Linked DNA regions of Caenorhabditis elegans. The protein of the gene in region 1 interacts with the protein of each later gene in a pairwise test. Each region holds a gene or a part of one and is shown in the gene's direction. Other genes may lie near its edges. The genes, in order: pqn-71, appg-1, daf-4 and pqn-74.

Region 1 (3,628 bases):
GGCATGAGCAGCTGTTCCAAGTTGTTTGAATTAAAATACTTTTAAAATTAAAAAAAACTGGATTTCTCGGTATCCCTTTAAATCTTATAGTTAGTCCCCCTGTTTTAAAATTCAATATACCAAAAATGTTTAGTTCAACACACGAGCCTCAGCTGGAGCGTTTTATTTTTCAATTAAAGTTTTACGAATGCTACTATTTCACGAGAGAAACCAGAATTTACAAAAACAATTTCTGAAAAAAAAACTCACCTTCGCCAAATTCGAGTGTCCCTTTAAAACTTCGAGATTCGCATTTGGATTCGGCTCAGAGACGGGCGTCTTCCATACGGGCTTAACCGCAATAATCGGCCCAAAAACCGCGAAAATCACGGGGAAACATGAGAGTAAGGGCCTCATCAGGCCCACGTTTTAGGCCTCTAGTTTTTGTCCGAGATTTAGGAAAACAATACGGGAGAAAACAAGAACAACAGGGAGGCAAAGAAGTGAGGAAACGGGTGAGGGGGGAGAATGGACATTCCAACATTATTAGATCGATTTAAGCGATATCGTCTGGTTATGATCGACGGAAATCCCTTTTGAATAGACGCTTTTTAAGGAGGGGAAACAGAAATGAAAACTGAGAAAATCGGGAATGAGGGAAAGTGACGGCAGGAAATGAGACTAAATTGGTCATCGATGTGTTGAAATTCTGGATTTTTTTTCGGTTTTGAAAATCTGCTGAATAGAAGATATTTTATTTGAAACAACACAGTTCAGTTATGTTATCGAGAAAAAAAATTACTGAATATAAACTTTACACTAGAAAGATGAAATTAAACATTTTTGCGTCAAATTTTCAATTAAAAATAATTGAAAACTAAACTTTAAAGCCGTTGTAACACCTTATACAGCAATTTTTTATGCAAAATTTTTCACAAATATTTGTTCAATTAATACATATTTATGTTTGAAAACATTAAAATTTTCCATGCCAACTAGATGTACTAGTTGACCACCAGGCGCGCCTCTCGATTCTCTCCCGATTCCGTTTTCTAAAGACCAATTCTAACACCGCCGCCGTGGCCTCCTTAGCTCAGTTGGTAGAGCGTGAGACTTTTAATCTTAAGGTCAGGGGTTCGAGTCCCCTAGGTGGCTTGATTTTTTTGTTTTTTTTTTCATTGTTGAAAAATTGTTTCTTTCTCAATTTTTTTCAAAAGGAATGGGCCGAACCGGGGATTGAACCCGGGACCTCTCGCACCCAAAGCGAGAATCATACCACTAGACCATTCGGCCACGAGAGACATGCTTCACGGAGGTATACACAATTGAGAGGAACAGAGATAGCGCTGGCCAGAGGAGAGTGTAATGCAAATAAACGATTATGGGGAATGAATAATAAATTGAGAATTTAATTCTGTTTTACTTCAAACTTATATATTTATTTCAAAAATAACTGAACAAACATGAATAACTCTGATTAAGAACCAGTTTTCCTCCATCATGCTCAACAAACAAACAAAAGATAAGTTGATTTATCGGGTCAATGAAAAATGCAAACATTGTAAACTTTTGATTAGGATTTTCAAGAAAAAAAAACGTGTCTAACTAGAAACAAAAGTGTAGGTTGGTAAACAACATGAAAAAGTATAAAAGTGGCAAGAATTACACGGGGTATACTCACAGAATCCCATTGAGCGATGCGTTGTGTGATTATATTGTTTGCAGTTGCTTTGGCTGTGGCTCAGGTTAGTTTTTCAATTTTAAACTAATTGTAAGGAATTTGAAAATTTATAATTTCTAAGTGCTGAGAGAAAGCCTAATAATTGTATTTTCTTTTCGCAATTTCGTGTTAACAAAACTACTTGAAATGTGAATTGGCGCTTTAACGACTGTTTTTGAACCTCTTCGAATTTCAATTTTCGACATCATTAACTGAAAAATCTCCTTTTTTAGAGTAATATCTGTATTCCCGTATATGGAAGTAGACCGACCCTGTTTTAATGTGGGCCGATAAAAATCTCGTAGTGACGTTTAAAATTGATAGAAGCATTCCAATTAACGACGTGTTTCTCAACTCAATTTGATTTCAGGCCTCCTCAATCCGCGAAACCCGTCAAGCCTCCTGCGGATGTGCTCAATCGGTTCAGCCGACCTGCTCCTGCCAGCAGGCCTCACAACAATACAGCTGCTCCTGCCAACCTTCAACTCCATGCTCTTGCGCCAGCAGCCAGCAATATCAATTGCAGACGTCTCAATGCATGCCTGCTTGTCAACAGTCCTGCAGTCAACAGTGCCAATCTAACACCAACACTCAATGCCAGCCAACGTGTCAGCAATCCTGCCAGACATCGTCTTGCAATCCGATGACTTCCACACCAATTCCAGCGTCGCAAAGTTGTCTTCCAGAGTGTGAGAACCGATGCATGCAGCAGTGTACTCAACAGCAGACCGCGCAACAGTGCCAGCCAATTTGTCAGCAGCAGTGCCAGCAGGAATGTGGGTCCACAGGAAATATGATGTACAATAATCAGGATCCGTATAATCAAATGCAGTATGGAGGGTACAATCAGCAAGGAAATCAGTACCAGAACCAAAATCAGTACCAAAATCCAAACCAGATCCAAAATCAGTACAACCAGAACCAGTACCAAAACCAAAACTACTACAACCCTTACCAACAAACTCAATGCCAACAACAATGTGCTCCACAATGCTCTCAACAAACTTCCACCAACTGCCAGCAGTGTCAGAACTCCTGCCAGAACAGCAACACTCAAACCATAACCATCTACGTGCAAGCCTCCCCACAGACCTCCCAATGTGTTCCCCAGTGCCAGCAACAATGCCAACAGCAGTGCCAAACTAGAACCACGGCCTCCCAACAGTGTGCTCCAGCTTGCTCGACATCCTGCAATCAATCCTGTAATCAGCCGGCCCAAATGGCATGTCAACCAATGCAAAATAGTCAGTGCGGATGTCAACAAAACTATTCGCCGTGCGGAAATGTCTCCGGGCAGTGTTGTTTGAAGAAGTAAAATTCTTGAAGATTGTATTTCTGTAAATCTAGGAAATGATGAATAAATGTTTCTCACTACCAGTTTTTTTGTTAAATGGGTCCTTTCAAAAGTGCTGAAGCTAATAAATTTGGTACCTGGTATTCACACAACATTTTTTGTTGAATGGAAAAAAGGTGGATGTACCTTTAAAGAGTACTGTAGTTTCGAGCTCTGTTTTTCAGGAATAATCATTTCGAGACCCGGAAAAACAATTAGAAATATTAAGAAAACTATTGTTGTATTGAAATTATGTTGATAAGATTTTATAGAAGATGACCGAAAATGTTTTAAAATTTATAATTGATTAGTATTTTTCGAATTTTTGTTTTCAGAATCAAGGAAAAATCGAAAACTCGACCCACTTGGTCCCTGTTGTTTGTTCTGCTACTACGTAGTAGTTGAGTGAGAGCAAGAAGAGGTGAAAAGTGCATTGAGAAAAAGAGACAAAAAGTTACCCCTTCAAATGCATATCGCTACATATATATAAATAGATGTCCAACTTTTTTCGCACTTTTCAATGAAAAGAAGGGGAAAGTTTATTAGTAATTTTTTTGAATTTTGAAATGTATATTTTTAGGTAGGAAATTTTCGAT
Region 2 (4,755 bases), on another chromosome or scaffold:
GTGAGCACCAATGTCTTCCTAACAATCCGAACTGTATGGCAGCTTGCCAAACGACTTGTTACCCAGTATGCCAATCGAAAATGCGTCGTCGCATGAAAGAAACGAAAAATCAACGAACTGAAGATTTTGCTCATCGTCAGTGAATAATCAATTATTTATTTATTGATTCGATTATTTTGTATTTATTTATGTACCATCAGTATTCTAATGTTTTTGGGAGTAATTTAAGATTTTATGGTAATTTGCAATTTGACGAGTTAGTCAATGTATGTAGCGAATAAAACGTATTGAATTCAACAAGCCATTATTTTTATGAACGCCAAGTCGGCCATCCCAATTTAAAACATCCAAAATCCCAATATATATTTTTGTACTTTGATACAATAATTAATTGTGTAAAGAAAATACAATCAGAATACAAATTGACATGTATCATTTCGAAAGTTCCCATACAAGAAAATTATTACATTTATCACTTGAAATTAAGTTGGTCCAAATATGTTAGAGCTAAAATTCTATTGAGCTCACTATCAGGACTCCGTTTGTTCAAACATCTTTATTTATTTCAGTTGAATAAAAAAGTTGCCGAGACATTTGAAATATGGTGATTGAATGCAAAATCAATTGCACGTTTTTCCGTGAAGAGTCTAGACAGTTGGGAAACTTGGAATGATAGCTGAAAATATGCATGTTCCCTCAATAATGTGAACCGCCATAAAAAAGTTATTGGAAAATTTCAAGACGTCTCATTGCGAATTTCAGGCCATTTGATACCTTCAAGTCTAATAGGGCATTGTCCCAATTTTCGGTACTCCTTCAAATCTTAGCAAATCAATAAAACTGGCAAAATAAACAAAAAGATACATTTATAAACGGCCTCCTATTCCAACCAAAATGGAATATTTAAACTACTTTACTAGTCTGTATTTTTAAATCAGTACTTATATTCTGTAAGTTCTAAATTAGTACAGAACACAATATCTCAGCATTTCTAGTTCAACGACAACGAAAAAACTTATAATTTCCGTTTAAATTTGTATCAAATTGAAACCTCCGTCACTATCTTCATCGAAACAATCCCAATTTGGTTCACCCCTTTGCTTTTTCCTGCCACTACAATCATCAATGTATGCTCATCAATAATCATCCTAATCACCAGCTTAATCACACAATGTCCTTTCTTCTCAAGCATGCCCCCATTCTAAAAAACAAACATCGGTGGAACAGACAAGAGGATGACCCCCTTCCGTCCTTTCCGAACTCTCCAAATTAGTGCCGATTTCCTTCCCCGCAAAAAGTTCGGGTAGCTCTCCAGTCGATTCAAGCGGCCAACAACGAACATACATTGACAATTTGTACATGGCGAAATACAAACAAACAGGATTCAAAAATTGCCTTGGGAAGCCATGGGGGCTCTCTCGTCCAGCAGGAGCACCAACGCGTCAGGCTGTCCTTTTTGCCGCGCGGAAATGCTCCGCCTCTGAGCGCGCATTCCGCGAAGCTTTTACCGCCCTCCTATCGCCCCCTCCGGAGAGCTCTTCAAGCAGTAAGAGAGAAGCAGAGTGAGAAATAGATTTTGAAGGATTTGTGTGTGTGTGTGTGAAGACTTATTATATACCATTTCTGTCTGTTAATAATCTTGTATCCGTACTCTTATTCATATTGTTCATCACTTAAATTCATATACAGTAATCCAATCCCTCCTGGATCTGAGAATTAGGAATCAATCATAAAATCTTCCCGATGGGACGCTCGAATTCTCTTCGGCTACTATTCTTATTCTGCCTTCTTTTGGCACTTTCTACTGCTGCGGTGAGTTTATTTTTGGTTTTTTGTTGGTAGTTACTTTGACTTTATTTGCTTTTGAATTGTTTGCTCGTAACTTGACCTGCTCGGTAAACTGGACTAATTAAAATCCTTTTGAAACTTTTGCGGTCAACCACTGTTAATTAGTCAGATATTTGTCTTCTCACAAAATTAAAGAGTTTTATAACTTATTTTATACGAACCATCTCTTATTAGCTTACTTTGGTTTGGTAAATCTTTATTTTGGGTGTGAACTTTGGTATTAACTGTATCGAACATTAGGTAACAAGCCTTCAATGTCTGTAACATAATTTGTAAACTAGATTGTGTTTCTTTAAGAGTCTTTGTTGCAAGTTTTAAATTTTGTGAAAATACCGTTTTTATCAGTATTAGAAAAAATTAGTTCTCTGCAATTTCTGAAAATCATTTTCTATGGATTTCTATTTTTTCGAAAAAATAATTCTATTGAAAGTACATTTTTGAAGATTACAAAACTTCAATTAGTCTATCCCTACAATATTTTATGTTGTGGGAACAATTGATGGGTTTGAAACTAGAATTTGATGACGCAACATTTTTTTTTAATTTTGCAGCTAGTGAATTCTAACAATTGCAGACTTTCTCTCTAACAGATTAATCAAAAAATAAATTAAAATTGTTTTGACCTTTTGGGAGCAATTTTATTCTAATTGTAGGAAAAATAAAAAACTTGTAAAAAAATTCAATTTGAGAATGGTTCCAATTTGGTTTTGACGGTTCAGTTTTACCATAATCCATTATTTCAAAACTACAAGGAGACAATCTTGGAAAAACGAGTCATGTTAGTATACCGGCTCTGTGACATTGATGCCTACCTGTGCGCCTACAGTATTTTTGTAGTCGACTGCAAAAAGCATGGTATGAATGTAGTAGGTCACTTTCAAGTCGAGTTTAATGCCTACATTGAGTGTCTGGTAAAAATGCTACTAAATATTGCTCTAGACAAACTCACCATTAAATCATGCATTAACCCAACTTTATTTCGAAACATTTTGATTCACATGGGCCAAAGTCTAAAGAATTTTGACAAAACTCCGCCCCGATTCTTTGACCCGATTCCTCTTCTTTTTATTCCAAATCGAGTTTTCTTCCCAAAAAGCCTGCTCATTCCAAGACAGTCAAACGAAGGTTTCTATTTCAATTTAGTCGGCGTCTCGTCCATTTCCACTGGCTCCAAGGTCTCTGTGTTGCGCGAGAGTTTGTTTCTATTGTCAGGCAAAGGTGAACACAATGAAAACAGAAAGTAAACACCCATTCGCCAGAGAGAGAAAAAGATTCGGTTTTTCTCCCAATTCTTTAACATCATGACCCCGTCATACACACAAAATGTCTGGTGAAATGGAAATTGGGTGAGAAGGAGAAAACATTTGAAAATTTAGAATGTTTCTTCTTCTTCTTCTTCATGGGATGGTGAATTAACAAAGGGATGCACAAAAATGGAAAAAGCGGAAACAGGAAACATCTGTTTTGAAACCGATATTGTTGCGAGAAACCGTAATTCGAAAACCGGAAGATCCTTCCATTTTTGGATTACTAAAATTACTAGACATCAATAAAAAATTAGTTTTTTTTAACTATAGCTTATGCTTCAATTTTTATTGGATCCAAATATTTATTGTTCACACATAGTCTCTTGGCTCTGGTACATTCTCAATTAAAATTCAGTAAAAACCCCGCAGCTTCCTCGAAATAGCGTAACTTTCTGTCAAGCTTTTTGCAATTTTCTGACATTTTCCTGATGAGAATCTTTTCCAGGAACTTACCTCCAGCAACTTATTCGATCATATCTTTAGAAATTGCCTAATTGTTTGCAGAAAGTTGATCCAAAATCCCGAGTTCACCGGGAAGGCTAAAGAATTTCCAAACTTTGAAAAAATTTGAACTGAACATTTTTTCATGCTGCCAAATCTTGATTATGTATCTTACCTCCCGTAAACTTTTTTATCTGAAAATCCACAAAATCTCCAGGTATATTGCCGAAACCGCCTCAGACCCACACACACGCAATAGTTCGCCCCACCAAGTCCTAATGTTTGATTACCGGGGGCGTCGTCTTAAAAGAGTCAATAGATGAATGACCAACCGGGAAATCGGATATCCGATATTCGAGAATGATATCGCCAAGGAAATGTGTGTGTGTATGTGTGTGTGTGGGATAAGGAAAGGTGATAAGGGGGCCCACTTATCAATTGTCACCTTTTCAAGAGTTTTGTTGCACTACGTAATAATAAAATCAGCGATTTCCGTATTTGGTTGGAGGGAAAATTAACGGTCTCCTTTGAGCAAATGGAACTAGATAAAAAATAAAATGGTAACCTCACATTTTGGAAATTACTTCAAAATTGAAAAGCAAAATTCAACTCTTTTTGATTTCTCTGTACAAGAAGTTCCTAAAATTTTTATCTATTTGAAAACTATTGTTCGTTTGGATTACTCTACATTACAGTACGGATTACAGTACGGGAGTGTTGTGTATTCGAAGGCGAGACGAGGAGAGAAGACGAGTAGTTTATTACATTACTAAACTAAGGAATAAATAAGTTAGTTCATAGAGTTCACGTTGCACGATCTTCTTAGCCACGTCGTGGGTCAATACACGTTGATACCCAACAGGGAGGGTCACGGTAACAGTATAAATTGATGTTCTATTTGTTAATTAATCATCAACCAACTCAACTTTAAGTTAGAATTTCTATGACTTGACATACTTTAAATTGGCATTTGTTGGGAAAATGTGTCTTTTTACACAGTAGTACAACTGTTTACACTGTTACCGTACCCCTACCGTACCCAGCCACAATGTTACAGTAGCACCAGTAGCATTCAAGATAAATTTTGCAACAGTACTGCTACAGCATTCATACCGTACTACTACAGTAACCCTAAAGTGTCCCGTCATAAATCTTAATT
Region 3 (7,610 bases), on another chromosome or scaffold:
ACACGCCTGCTGCTACCCTCTCCTCCTTCTTCTGCAACAACAACAAACCCACCGTGGTCACATGTGAATTTCGCCGAGTTTCACGCTCTTTTTCCCCCTTTTCTTTTTCGGCTTTTGCTGCAAAAATAGAACGAGTGAATAATACCCAGAAAAAAGCGAGTGCTTTGTTGTTGTCAAGGTAAACACAAAAAATATATGAAAAATGTTCAAAAAATATTCGTTTTGACATTCTCTTCTCCCACTTAAGTCGCTTGATTCAATGTGACGGGGAGGCTTGAGGCAGGAGGAAAAGTATAAATTCACCTGAAATAACGAATGGTGACATGTTTTTGAATAAGAAGAAGGAAAGGATGACGTTGAGTGGTACTTTCTATTTTCGTACGTTTTACAGAAAACTTATTGAAACTTAGCGCCCGACATCTAGCCCAAACTTGGACGAACACCTAAGCCTAAGCCCAAGCCTAAATCTCATTTTAGACTTTTAGCCGAGCCCACGCCTACTCCAATTCCGTTCTGCTGAAAAAAACATACGTTTTCCTGGTACCACGCACGAAATATAATCCTGAGAAACTTTTTTTGGTTACATTACATGTGTATAGCACATTATTTAATTTTTCCTCGAATTGCTAGTGTATTTTGGGAACCGAAATATGGAAAGTCCAGTTAGTCCGAACTTCGCCCATTTCCTATAAGGTGCAGGTGTTCATCGATACTATATTTTTCTCAAAGTTCCCGTTCTATAGACCCCGGAAGATCCCGCCTTCATTCTGTTTGGGCCCCGCCCAACTTTAGCCCCCTCCGATGAGAAAAAGAGCACAAGAGGACAGCGAGCCCCTCTTGTAAGGTTCTTGTAGGTCAGATTGTCACGTCATTTGATTTTTTGTTGTTGTTTATTAGAGAACATTGAATGAAAACCTTTTTTTATTTGAAACAAAAAGTAGAGAGTAGAGTTTGTAAAAGTGATAAGAGTGTACCAATCTTTGCTGTTTCCTCGTTCTTTTTCTCTTTTCTCTCTTCATTTCTGATGTGTGCTTCTCACTTCATTTTTTTTGCAAACTTTTTGTGCTTCCTTAACACTTTTCACATCTTTCGTTTGATGGAGATTGTGCAATTTATTCCTATTTTTACGGAATTTTTGAAAAATTTGGTTGACATTTTTTAGTTGAAAGTTTTGAACTCTCATGGTGCATCGAAGTAAAATTCAAACATTTTATTTTAAAAAAATGAAAAGTTTTTTGTTAAAAAAATTGGAAATTTCGAATGTCGAAATTCGAAATTTTTTTATCCGAAATTTCGATTGCTTTTATTTGAAATTAAGAAATTTAATTTTCATCAAAACTAAATTTTTAAAATTTTAGCTGGAAATTTTAGCAAAGCTGGCAATTTTATTTAATTTTATCGAAATTTTCGAATTTTCGAATTTTTGAAATTTTATTTATTTTTTCTCAAGTTGAATTTGTTGACCTATTTTTTTTATTTAAATAAGTTTGCATCTATTTTTCTCAATAAAACATTTGATCTTAATTATTTATTTATTTTACTCCTCAACTTTAAAAAAAACGTTACAATAATTCAACTACCTTCAATTTTCAGATGAATCAGAAAGGGACAGTACGTCTCAAGGCACTTGTGCTCATTTGCCTTCCACTCTTTTTAATTGCCACACCGGTTCCTGTTGCAGTCACGGAAGACGATCGTCAGGACCGAATCGAATCGGAAGCCGCCGAGAAAGAGGTGAGCATTTTTTGAGAAAATGTGTTTTTGTCGTAAACTTCTTTATTTTATTCTATCTCCTTGGTTTAACCATCTTTCAGTGGGCTAACACCCTAGTCAGCAAAGTAGCACAGTCAAATGGAACTGGCACTATTAAGGTCTCGGCACCAGCGAAGCCCACGTTAAGGAGAATGGACAATGAGGAGGATGAAGTGATTTCGATTGAATGTGTAGTAAGTTTTTGGATCAATTTGATGGAATTTAGGCTCATTAGATAGTGTTGACGTTTTGGGGATCAGAAATCAGTGACTCTCCCGTTTGTTTAAAAATTACTGGATCAAATACACTTTAATTCCAGTGAGCCCTGTTCCCCTTGTAGAGGTCGCAGAGCCAATCCACCCACATTCCACTGATCCTTGTTTCAATTAACTATAGTTACTTTAAAGTACCAAGATATTCTAAAAGGGATAAGTTCAAACCCGCAAGCTACAATAACTACAACTCCTTTTGTTTTTCAAGTGTTATCACTATTCCATAATTATAGGCTCTCTTCCCCAAAATTAAAGCAGTAGTAAAAACGTTAAACTTTAAAATTTTGCAGTACTACGACGAGATGGAATGCGAAAAGAGTGGCGATTGTGAAATCACAAAGAAGACGTGTTACAGTGAAGCTCATCTGAAAGCCGTCGGATGCTTGGCCGTATTTGGGCTGCCCACGCAAGAGGTTAGTGTGGAAGAGGTTTTTGGCGGCCACCCCCAGACCGAACTGTGTCACATGACGGGGGCCCTTTATATATATTGTTTCATTTGTTATTCATGAGTGACATCTTCTTCCTCTTCATCCGCGGAAGTATTTGTATCTTTTGCATTTTTTTTTCCATTCTGGCTTATGACTTTGTCAGCTGGAACAAATTGGGGTGACATGACTCGTGATTTTTGATAGTTTTGTAGGATGGAATTTGAATATCAAAATTAAAATCAGAATTGCATTAGTTTTATCGAAAACAAATACATATGAGCAAGGTTTTGGCCTTTTTGAAGACGACTTTGAAAATTTACTGAGCGACATAGGATTTAAACGTGGAACTTGATTCAAATTGAAAAAAATACTGCGGAAAAAGTTAATGATCAAGGCTTTATTATTCCTTTGCTACAAAGCTCTTCAAACCAAACTTAAAAGTTGTTGAGTTTATCAATCCAATTTTGATCGAATCCATTAAAAATGTGCAAACCAACTAATCCGGATTTAGCTGCCCATGTTTCAAAAGATGATTAATTGAGTAAAGGGGATAATAATAGATATATGCATCCATATTATAAACATCAAAAATCTTAAAATTTCCAGATAAACTCTACAGAACCATACCTGAAAGTTGATAAACCGCAATACAAAAGTCTGGGATGTATGCCGTATCAGCACGCGGACTCGATGAACTGCGAGAACGAAAGCTCCGTAAGTTATATTTCAGCATTCGGAGCACCTCATAAAACTGGAATTTCAGTGTCGCCAAGGACGATCATTTCGCGGCGGAATTGGAATGTGCTGCTGTTCGACCAACAATTGCAACATGCCGGATCTCATCGAGATGGTCAACCCGTCATTGAAGAAGGGTCAGTGAGCACATTATATTAAGAGAGCACTATATCCCATGTTTAACCCCATTCTTAGTATACTAGAGCAACACGCAATGATTCTGTTTTTGTGAATATACATATATATCACCTCCTTCTTTTTACCTTTTTTACCTTCTTTCTGTCCCACTTTCTGTTTAAATAACCTTCTTTCGGGTGAGCGTTGGGGCTAGAGGCTAGGGAGAAATTGTTGGCATTGAAATGAGAGGTTTTCTGTGAAACATTTAGCTTTAAGTTAGCAGAATTTTCACGAAAGTTGAACAACCACGCGTGTCTGTGCCTAGTTATTTTTTCGAAATACGGTTCATCATACGGAGGTTGCCTCCCATCAACTAAAATACGACAGAGTTGGAGCACATTCGAGAAAATTCCCAGGAAGTTAGACAAAAATGTGGCAAACTAACGACGAGTGTAGGGAGATAGTGGACGGAAGTTGGCAAACGTTGCGAGCAAATGAGAAGCACCAAATTGCAATATGTCCTAATGTAGAAGCGTTCAGGCGAAAGTTCGAGAGAGTTTGGCGATGTTTGGTTTGAGCTCGGCCACAGTAATAGGGAAAGTGACGCGAAGTGTGATCAATCTGAGTCAAGCTTTCGACAAGTGAAAGACGAGAGTAGGAGTTGAGGAGCGGGCCAGATGGAAGACGGAAGCTGCGACGAATCTTCAACTAATTTATGAGCGTTGAAAAAAAAAGTTGGAGAGAGGTTATGGGGTTATTCAAGTAGTGTCGGAAAATTAAAAAGTGTAGAAAAATTACGTCACAACCTTATTCAAGTAGATAAAAACATGTATTTAAATACATTTGTGACGTCACAAATGTATTTAAATGCATTTTGCTACATTACTTGAATAACCCCATTAGAAAATTTTGAATGGTCTCTACGGATCTCAGCAAACGTTCGTCCAAACTGCGACAACCTTATGACGCGTTTATGATAAAATTTGAAGTTGAGACAATGAGAGAGAAGGATAACCGAGCAGAGGTTGAGAAGAAAGCTCGAGAGAGCTTGGCAAACATTGAAAGATAGTTCAGCTAGCCCTGAGACAATATTTTGCGCCAAAGCTGAACAAATTTCCGGTGGAAGTCAATCGGAAATTAAGAAAAATATGGAGAACTTCCCATTACTTTAGCTATACTCCTCCCAACCTTTCCCCGTGTACCCTCAACCTGAAAGAATCCACCTCTGTAAAAGCCTGCAGTTGTCATAAACCTTGTTCCCAATTTCTCTTCCCTTTCCTAATTTTCTCCGAAAAAAATGCACGTGGACCTCTCCAGATTGTCTCCTAATTTTCTCTTACCCCTCACACATACACACACACACCATTCATGCAATTTTATGTTTGTTCTTGTGGCTTTGCAAGTAAACCACTTTTTTATTTCAACTTTCTTTTGTTCTTTCTGTTTCTAGAGGCGATTCGCAACGACACTCTGCTGTTATTTGGCTCCTCCCCTCCAGTGAGCGGAGTGTCGTTGCAAAGTGAAACAAACGCTTTTTCGTAATAATTTGCACCCGTGGAAGATGCCTGTACACACACACACACATACAAATAAAAACATGTACACATTTTGAAATCACCTATTTAGAGCCGATAAAATTTCAGATTCGGATAATTCTGCACTTCTGTGGGCTTCAACTCCATCCAACATGGATTTGGAATCTCTAGGTACTGTCTGCATCTACGTCTCGGGGCTAGCTGGGTACTAACTAGGTGCTAAACACCCTCTACCACACATCCCCCACTCTTGTCAGTTTCTCAATGGAGCGAATTTGCAGACAAGTTCCCATTCTACTGGATCATCATAATCGCACTGTCAGTGATCCTTTGTATTGCACTCTTGATCTTGGCATACGTTGGTTGGAAATTTCAGCAGAATAAGAAGGAGGAGATAAAAAAGCAGCAGAAAATTAAATTTGACATGGCGAGTTTTGTCTTTTTTGAAATCGAATCAATTTTCGAAATTTTCAGGAAAAAACTGACGCACTGGAAGCTGGAAATGTGCCTCTCGTGGAGCCGGAAGAGGAAATGATTGAAATGGTGGAGACACCAAAGGAGCTGCCGATCACTGATTTTCAGGTATGTAGGTACCGCAAGAGTCGTGCTTGATATTTTATATTGAAACATGCTCTCTAAATCTAGAATACAACATTTGAATTTTGAAAAAAAAACCATATTGGTGAAACTTTTCAGCTTTACATGAATTTTTTAAAAATTATCAAAAACAATTGTTAACATAACTTAAAAACAACGAACAATTCTGAAAACATTTGAATTTATGGTTTTTTAACAGTGTCGGGGAACGTTTTCATTTGGCATTGGAGCGCATTTGCACTTTGATTTCAAAATTCACATATTTCGCGTCTTCATAATAGTTCGTCTTTTTGATATTTTGCTCGGAAGTTCGACCTCACGGTGTAAACTTTTGATGTCCACTACTTTGTGAACTCTGAGCTTTTCCTTACTTTTTCTTTATCTTTGAGAAAAAATGTTGAAAACAACAGAAGGCTCTTTTCATGAGCTGATTGACGTCACACTTACACTCAATGACATTTGTTCGTTTATTGCAGTTAATCTCAAAGGGACGTTTTGGAAAAGTTTTCAAGGCGCAATACACCCCAGACAGTGGTGAGAAACGATTGGTTGCGGTGAAGAAATTGAACGAATTCCAAAAAGCGAGCTTTTTGGCGGAGAAAAGAATCTTTGATGAGCTTAACGAGTACCCGAAGTGGTATAAAAGTATCGTCGAATTTGTGTGCGCCGAGAAAATTGGTGATGAGTATTGGATTGTGACCGAATTTCATGAGCGACTTAGTCTCTATGAGTTACTCAAGAATAATGTAATTAGTATTACATCTGCCAATCGAATTATTATGTCAATGATCGATGGGCTTCAATTCTTGCATGACGACAGGCCGTACTTCTTTGGACACCCAAAGAAGCCAATTATTCACAGGTTAGTGGAAAATGAAAATAATTAGAAAATTTTTAATGGATCTGACTTGTGATCGCCCTCCAACTAGTTTTAATGCTCAGAACTTTACTCTAGGTTGGTCCTAGAAAAAATCGGAAGAAGTTGCTAAGTTGCGCTTGAGCAGCCGACATTTTCAGGATCAATTAATAGTAGCGTGGACCTACAAGTTGTCGGCTGCAATTTCCAGTAAATATTTTTTGAAATACACACGATAGAGTCCAAAATGATAGGGTAAAATATTGAAAAAAAAAAACCAATTTTTAGGCGCATGACAATTTTCAGTTGAAGTTTCGAAAAGTTAGGGTTTAGAAAAAAAATAAAAATTCAAACAATTTTGTACATTGGAACACCTAAAGTATCTAGAGTTAATTAGAACATAATCAGAATATAAATTTCGCGGGAAAATTGTGTACAAAGTGTTATTATGATATTCGGTTTACTATCGGAGAGATTCTAACCAATGCTCCCAGTAACACTACGTTACCTTTTAAGAGCAGGTAGCGAGTTTCAACGACGCACGACGCTGGTTAGTGTATGCTCCAAACTGTTTCTAATGTCTGTACTTATTCAATTCAATAACCAATTTTTTGCAGAGATATCAAGTCGAAGAACATTCTTGTGAAAAGCGACATGACCACATGCATCGCGGACTTTGGCCTCGCCCGAATCTACAGCTATGACATTGAGCAAAGCGATTTGCTGGGTCAAGTGGGAACGAAACGCTACATGTCACCAGAGATGCTCGAAGGAGCAACCGAATTCACGCCAACTGCTTTCAAAGCGATGGACGTTTATTCGATGGGACTCGTCATGTGGGAAGTCATATCCCGTACCAAGTTGCACCAAACCGACGAGCCACCAAACTACCAAATGCCGTTTCAAGTCATCGGATTTGATCCCACAATTGGTCTCATGAGAAATTATGTGGTGAGCAAGAAGGAACGACCACAATGGAGAGATGAGATTATTAAACATGAATATATGAGTCTGCTAAAAAAGGTTACGGAAGAGATGTGGGATCCCGAAGCGTGTGCACGGATTACAGCTGGATGTGCGTTCGCGAGGGTATGGAATCATATTATGAGCTCACCGGACAGTTCGGAGGGGTATCACAGTGGAAGTAGTATGAAGAATCGGGGTGTTGATGATGTTGAACAAAGTGAGAAGCCGGAGGGTATCGAAGAAATGCAACATTATCATGCGTCGTCACCCAGCAAGAGACAACATCCTAGTCCGAATCCGTTTTTTGATTCGTGTCCACCACCTCCGCCGATTCCTGTGATCCTTGAAAATG
Region 4 (4,243 bases), on another chromosome or scaffold:
CTCTCCAAGATATCATTTTCGTTGTTCTCTTCTCACAATCCAACAGGAGCAACAAGCAACATACATACCCCCATACACAAACGGACCCGTTAGACTGTTGAAAAACCAACGAATAGAGTCACTCAACACACATTGTTCGCCTCCCCCCTCCTCACTTGCTCAACTGATGCTTCTTATTGCTCCCAACGGACGATTGGAAGGGCAAACTGGAATAAGATGATGCGCAGGAGAAGCACATGCGGACGAGACGCGGCGTCAACGAGCTCGCGCCCTCCCTCCTTCCTCCCCTCACCAACCTTTTTTTCAATTCTTCACTAATTGTTAGACAGGAGGGGTGGATATATGAAGTGCATATTATACGTACATCGGATACACACTGAGAACTAGGCGACGGGGGGGGGGGGGTGTTCTTCGGAGACCAGAGATTACGGGAAACCGATCCGTGTCTGGAACTTTGGGGGCACGAAAGAAACTTGAGAGAACAGGCTCTAATTGTAGAGCACATGCATGTCATACAGCGAACATGTTTGAAGTTTTGAATACAATTGATATACAAGTTAAATAAGCAGCGGACATCAATCCAGGTTCGCTATTGAAACGTGTGCCAGATTTTCACAAAGTTCGCCTAATTTGAGCACAATGTAAACGAACATCCGAAAAGTTCTCAATGTGCACTGACTAGGTCTGAACATCGAAAAATCGAGTTTTTACGCATTTTTTTCAATTGCCGGAAAATTTCAGTTTTGCAAAAAATATTTCAAGATTTTTTTCCTGAAAAAAATCAAAAAAAATCTGAAAGAATAGCGTTACGTCTCCATGGGTTTCCGAGACGAACAAAATTTTTTTCTATATGAGCGTGCGCTACAGTAACCCGCTCTTTTTTTTGGGGGATTTTTCAAAAACGTTTTTCTACAGAATAATATTTTGAAGAAAAAATGGGCAGTACTTCTTACTGTACTTCTGTACTTCTTAACGGCGCAGATACTTTTTGCGCGACCTCAATTTGAAAATATTAAGTTCGCTTTGAGAGTAGATCCTGTAAAAATTAAGCGTACTGTAGATTTTTTAAACATTTTAAAATCGCTTTTATAATCATCAGAAACAACAATTATCCATTTTTACGAGCGAAAATTGGCAATTTTAGACGATTCAAAAATTTTTGCAATATTTCATTTAAATTCCCAAATAATTTTTATGAATTGTGAAGTGATTTTGTACCGTAACCTTTTGTTTCCAGCTATCAAAAATGATGCAAATCAGAGAGAAAAGCTCAAGTAGAACGACACAAATAAACTTGAGTCAACAAGAACCAAAAGATGAAATATCTAGCGTCTAGAAGCTTCTTTTCCCATAACCTTCGGCCTTGCTTGACGCCGCAAAGCCAAAAAAGAGACTTGTAGTAGTGTAAGAGAACCAACTACTTAAACGGTTTCTGCGAAAGCATGCTCGAGTACACTACTGTCTGTAGTAAGTTGCCAATTTGCACGGACACACGGGTTTTGTTTGTTTACTCTGACAAACACAGTTTTTGATTTTCAAAAAATATGAACATAGAAAGCAAGAGAGAAGAGAGGGGGTATCAATTCCTATTGTAATCTTGTTAATCTATTTACAAGTATTCGCGGTGAGAAGTGGGTCGACGGGTGCGCGTGCGCTCCTCTCTCCGCATGCCATTCCACTGATGAGTTCCGGATTAGGGCGGGCTGAGAGAACCGCCTACTTCGGAGAGGGCGCGGGAGCCCTCCCCAGGTGTGCTCCAGAGCCAAATCGTATAAAAGCGCGACGAGTTTGCCGATTGAGCATCACACTAGCTTCTTCTCACTCATACACACATGGCGCGCTTCCTCCTCATTATCGGATGCGCTACTCTCGCAGGTTTATCACTTTTTTCTGATTTTTTAACAATTTTAACATTTTGTTTCATTCTTCCTTGATAACCTTTTCCATTTTCTTATAGCTCTCGCATCTTGCGAATCCAAGAGTGGTGAGGAAACTCCACAATACTGGAGAGCCATTCTTGGTGATATCTGCCAATTGCCATCGTTCCCTAGAGCCACTGGTGATCCAACCCGTTATGTTGAATGTGTTCGTCAATCCTCATTTGCTGCCGATAGGTAAGCCATTTTGATACTGAATACCTTTTTACCTTCATCCGCCTTCTCACATTTCCAGAAAAGATCTCGGAATCTGGCTTCTTCGTGAATGCCTCCCAGGATACGAGTTTGTTGCCTCCGCTCGCCGTTGTAAGACTGTCCGTTCTGTCAACAAACAACAAGTAATCCTTTACCTTTCACTCTTCAACCTTTTGTTTATCTTCTTGTTTATAGGAACTTTGCGAGTCTGCCAATGCCACCGAGTACAACTTCTGCCCAACTGCCTCGGCCATGCAATTCCTCGTTGAGGAGACCCGTGAGGCTCCAAGACAGTGCGCCTGTCCAAATGGAGAGCAAAACTGTGTCTGCCCATCGCCGGAAATCCTCGAGCCAATCTCTGCTGTCAAGAAGGTCCGCAGATCTGCCCAGCAACAGCCATTGAGATTCTCCCAATACCCATCATGCCCATGCCCACAGAACCAACCAGCCTGCACATGCTCTACCAACAATCAGCAGAATGAGCAGATCCTTGTCTCCATCTCCTGCTGCCAACAACAAGAGACCACCACCCAGGCTCCAGTTCAGATGCAACCATGCCAGTGCACCCCAACCCAAATTCAACAGAACTGCCAAACCACAACCACCCAGCAACAATACTGCCCACAACAATCTGCTCCAGTTGTCCAGCCACAGCCATGCCCACTCGGTAAGATCTTATGGTTCTAGAATCTACAATCTAAACCTTTCTATTTCAGTCCAAGGATCCGGAGTTCAAAACGCTCAATACCAAGGAATCTGCTCATGGATGATCGACCCACTTGCCACTGACCCACAATCCCGCACTCACTACCTTCAATGCCAGCCAGCTCCAAACAACTTGTTCTGCGGAAGATGGCAACGTATGCCATGTGCCCCAGGAACCGTCTTCGACGTCCAATCCCAAGTCTGCGTCTGGGACACCAACAGCCAGCCAGGAACTCTTCCAACTCCAGCCCCATACGTCTCCACCCAGGCTCCACAGAACGCTCAATGCGGATGCACCGGAGGAGTTCAAATCGGATCATGCAACCAAAACTACCAGTGCCCAGGACAATCGGTCTGCCAAGTCGGACAAAATGCCGGACAACAGGTAAGAGAGTAGTGTCTAGAAGCAAGAGATCGGCAACCAATTCAACCGGTTTCCGTTCTTGTGTGTGGCAATTGAGACGATTACAATAGGGACGGGGGTGTGTAAGAATGGGGAGGGAGGCTCGAATAGATCATAAGCAAACGAACACTCTTTCAGTGCATGGTTTGCTGCTACTTCCGCAAGAAGGCCCGTCGTTTCTAATCGATCGAACATCTCACACACATCATCATCGAACCAAAAACTGCTACAATCTTCTCGCCTTTTTGTATATACCGTGAAGAAAACAACAATCATGAAACGGATACGCATAGACAACCATAATTGTACCGCCTAGTTTGCCCTCACTTTTCCCCCGTCTTCCCCCAAATCCCCAATCCTTATTTGTATTCCGAATTGTCCAATGTCTAGGGTTTTCTCTCCAATGATAACTATTATATAACTTATGATGGTACTTCAATAAATATATATTTTCAATACTTTTCTGGTTTTTGTCTGATACCCCGGATTTGCAGTGATTTTAATGGTTTGTTCAAATATTTTAAACTCAAATACTTTGCTTATTGGAAAAATGTTTTCAACTAACAAAGTATTGACGAAAACTTTTTCTACACTTTGGATTTTTCAAAATTATACAACTCTGTTCCAGAAAAAAAGCTACAGCAGCTGACATCAGGCGGGTCGGTTTTTTTATTAGAATTTCCAAGTATCTAAACGCTTGGTGTTTTCATAAAACAAAGTTTAATAAGAAAATAATTTTCGCAGTTTTCTACTTTTTGCAATTTGTTTGTATTTCATATGAATCTCAAATTTCGAAATACATTTAATAAACATTTAAATTGTTATTGGTTTTTTAGTGGAGTACTTAAGCAATTATAGGAAGTGCAAATTGCAAAATGTAAAAAACTTTGTGGAGATAATTTTCTTAGTGTACCTTGTTTCATGAAAACACCTAATTTCAAAGGTACTTATTTTTAAATGACAACAAGCTTATTTTGGTAAAATAATTGAAAAAAAAACAATT

The links.
Region 2: the proteins of pqn-71 (region 1) and appg-1 interact in a two-hybrid assay, tested with the Caenorhabditis elegans proteins (one study listed by BioGRID).
Region 3: the proteins of pqn-71 (region 1) and daf-4 interact in a two-hybrid assay, tested with the Caenorhabditis elegans proteins (one study listed by BioGRID).
Region 4: the proteins of pqn-71 (region 1) and pqn-74 interact in a two-hybrid assay, tested with the Caenorhabditis elegans proteins (one study listed by BioGRID).

What each region holds. Positions count from the first base shown.
Region 1 is NC_003283.11:15,464,025-15,467,652, forward strand, and holds pqn-71 (Prion-like-(Q/N-rich)-domain-bearing protein), read left to right. Parts: upstream 1-1,652; 5' UTR 1,653-1,676; coding exon 1,677-1,724; intron 1,725-2,069; coding exon 2,070-3,014; 3' UTR 3,015-3,076; downstream 3,077-3,628. Other genes in the region: rocf-1 (ZP domain-containing protein), read right to left, coding at 250-396.
Region 2 is NC_003280.10:10,324,551-10,329,305, forward strand, and holds the start of appg-1 (Activated in Blocked Unfolded protein response), read left to right. Parts: upstream 1-1,743; coding exon 1,744-1,812; intron 1,813-4,755. Other genes in the region: idpp-4 (Intrinsically Disordered Protein, expressed in Pharynx), read left to right, coding at 1-143.
Region 3 is NC_003281.10:5,623,549-5,631,158, forward strand, and holds the start of daf-4 (Cell surface receptor daf-4), read left to right. Parts: upstream 1-1,593; coding exon 1,594-1,734; intron 1,735-1,814; coding exon 1,815-1,946; intron 1,947-2,314; coding exon 2,315-2,437; intron 2,438-3,058; coding exon 3,059-3,166; intron 3,167-3,215; coding exon 3,216-3,324; intron 3,325-3,395; exon of another isoform or gene 3,396-4,658; intron 4,659-4,947; coding exon 4,948-5,010; intron 5,011-5,120; coding exon 5,121-5,266; intron 5,267-5,313; coding exon 5,314-5,421; intron 5,422-5,912; coding exon 5,913-6,298; coding exon of another isoform or gene 6,299-6,323; exon of another isoform or gene 6,324-6,550; intron 6,551-6,909; coding exon 6,910-7,610. UniProt on the Caenorhabditis elegans protein: Involved in a TGF-beta pathway. May be a receptor for TGF-beta-like ligand daf-7. Controls the decision of whether or not larvae enter a developmentally arrested state, known as dauer, in response to environmental conditions.
Region 4 is NC_003282.8:13,328,963-13,333,205, reverse strand, and holds pqn-74 (Chitin-binding type-2 domain-containing protein), read left to right. Parts: upstream 1-1,799; 5' UTR 1,800-1,832; coding exon 1,833-1,875; intron 1,876-1,955; exon of another isoform or gene 1,956-1,957; coding exon 1,958-2,114; intron 2,115-2,172; coding exon 2,173-2,275; intron 2,276-2,327; coding exon 2,328-2,799; intron 2,800-2,848; coding exon 2,849-3,222; intron 3,223-3,378; coding exon 3,379-3,423; 3' UTR 3,424-3,699; downstream 3,700-4,243. Other genes in the region: far-6 (Fatty-acid and retinol-binding protein 1), read right to left, coding at 4,243-4,243.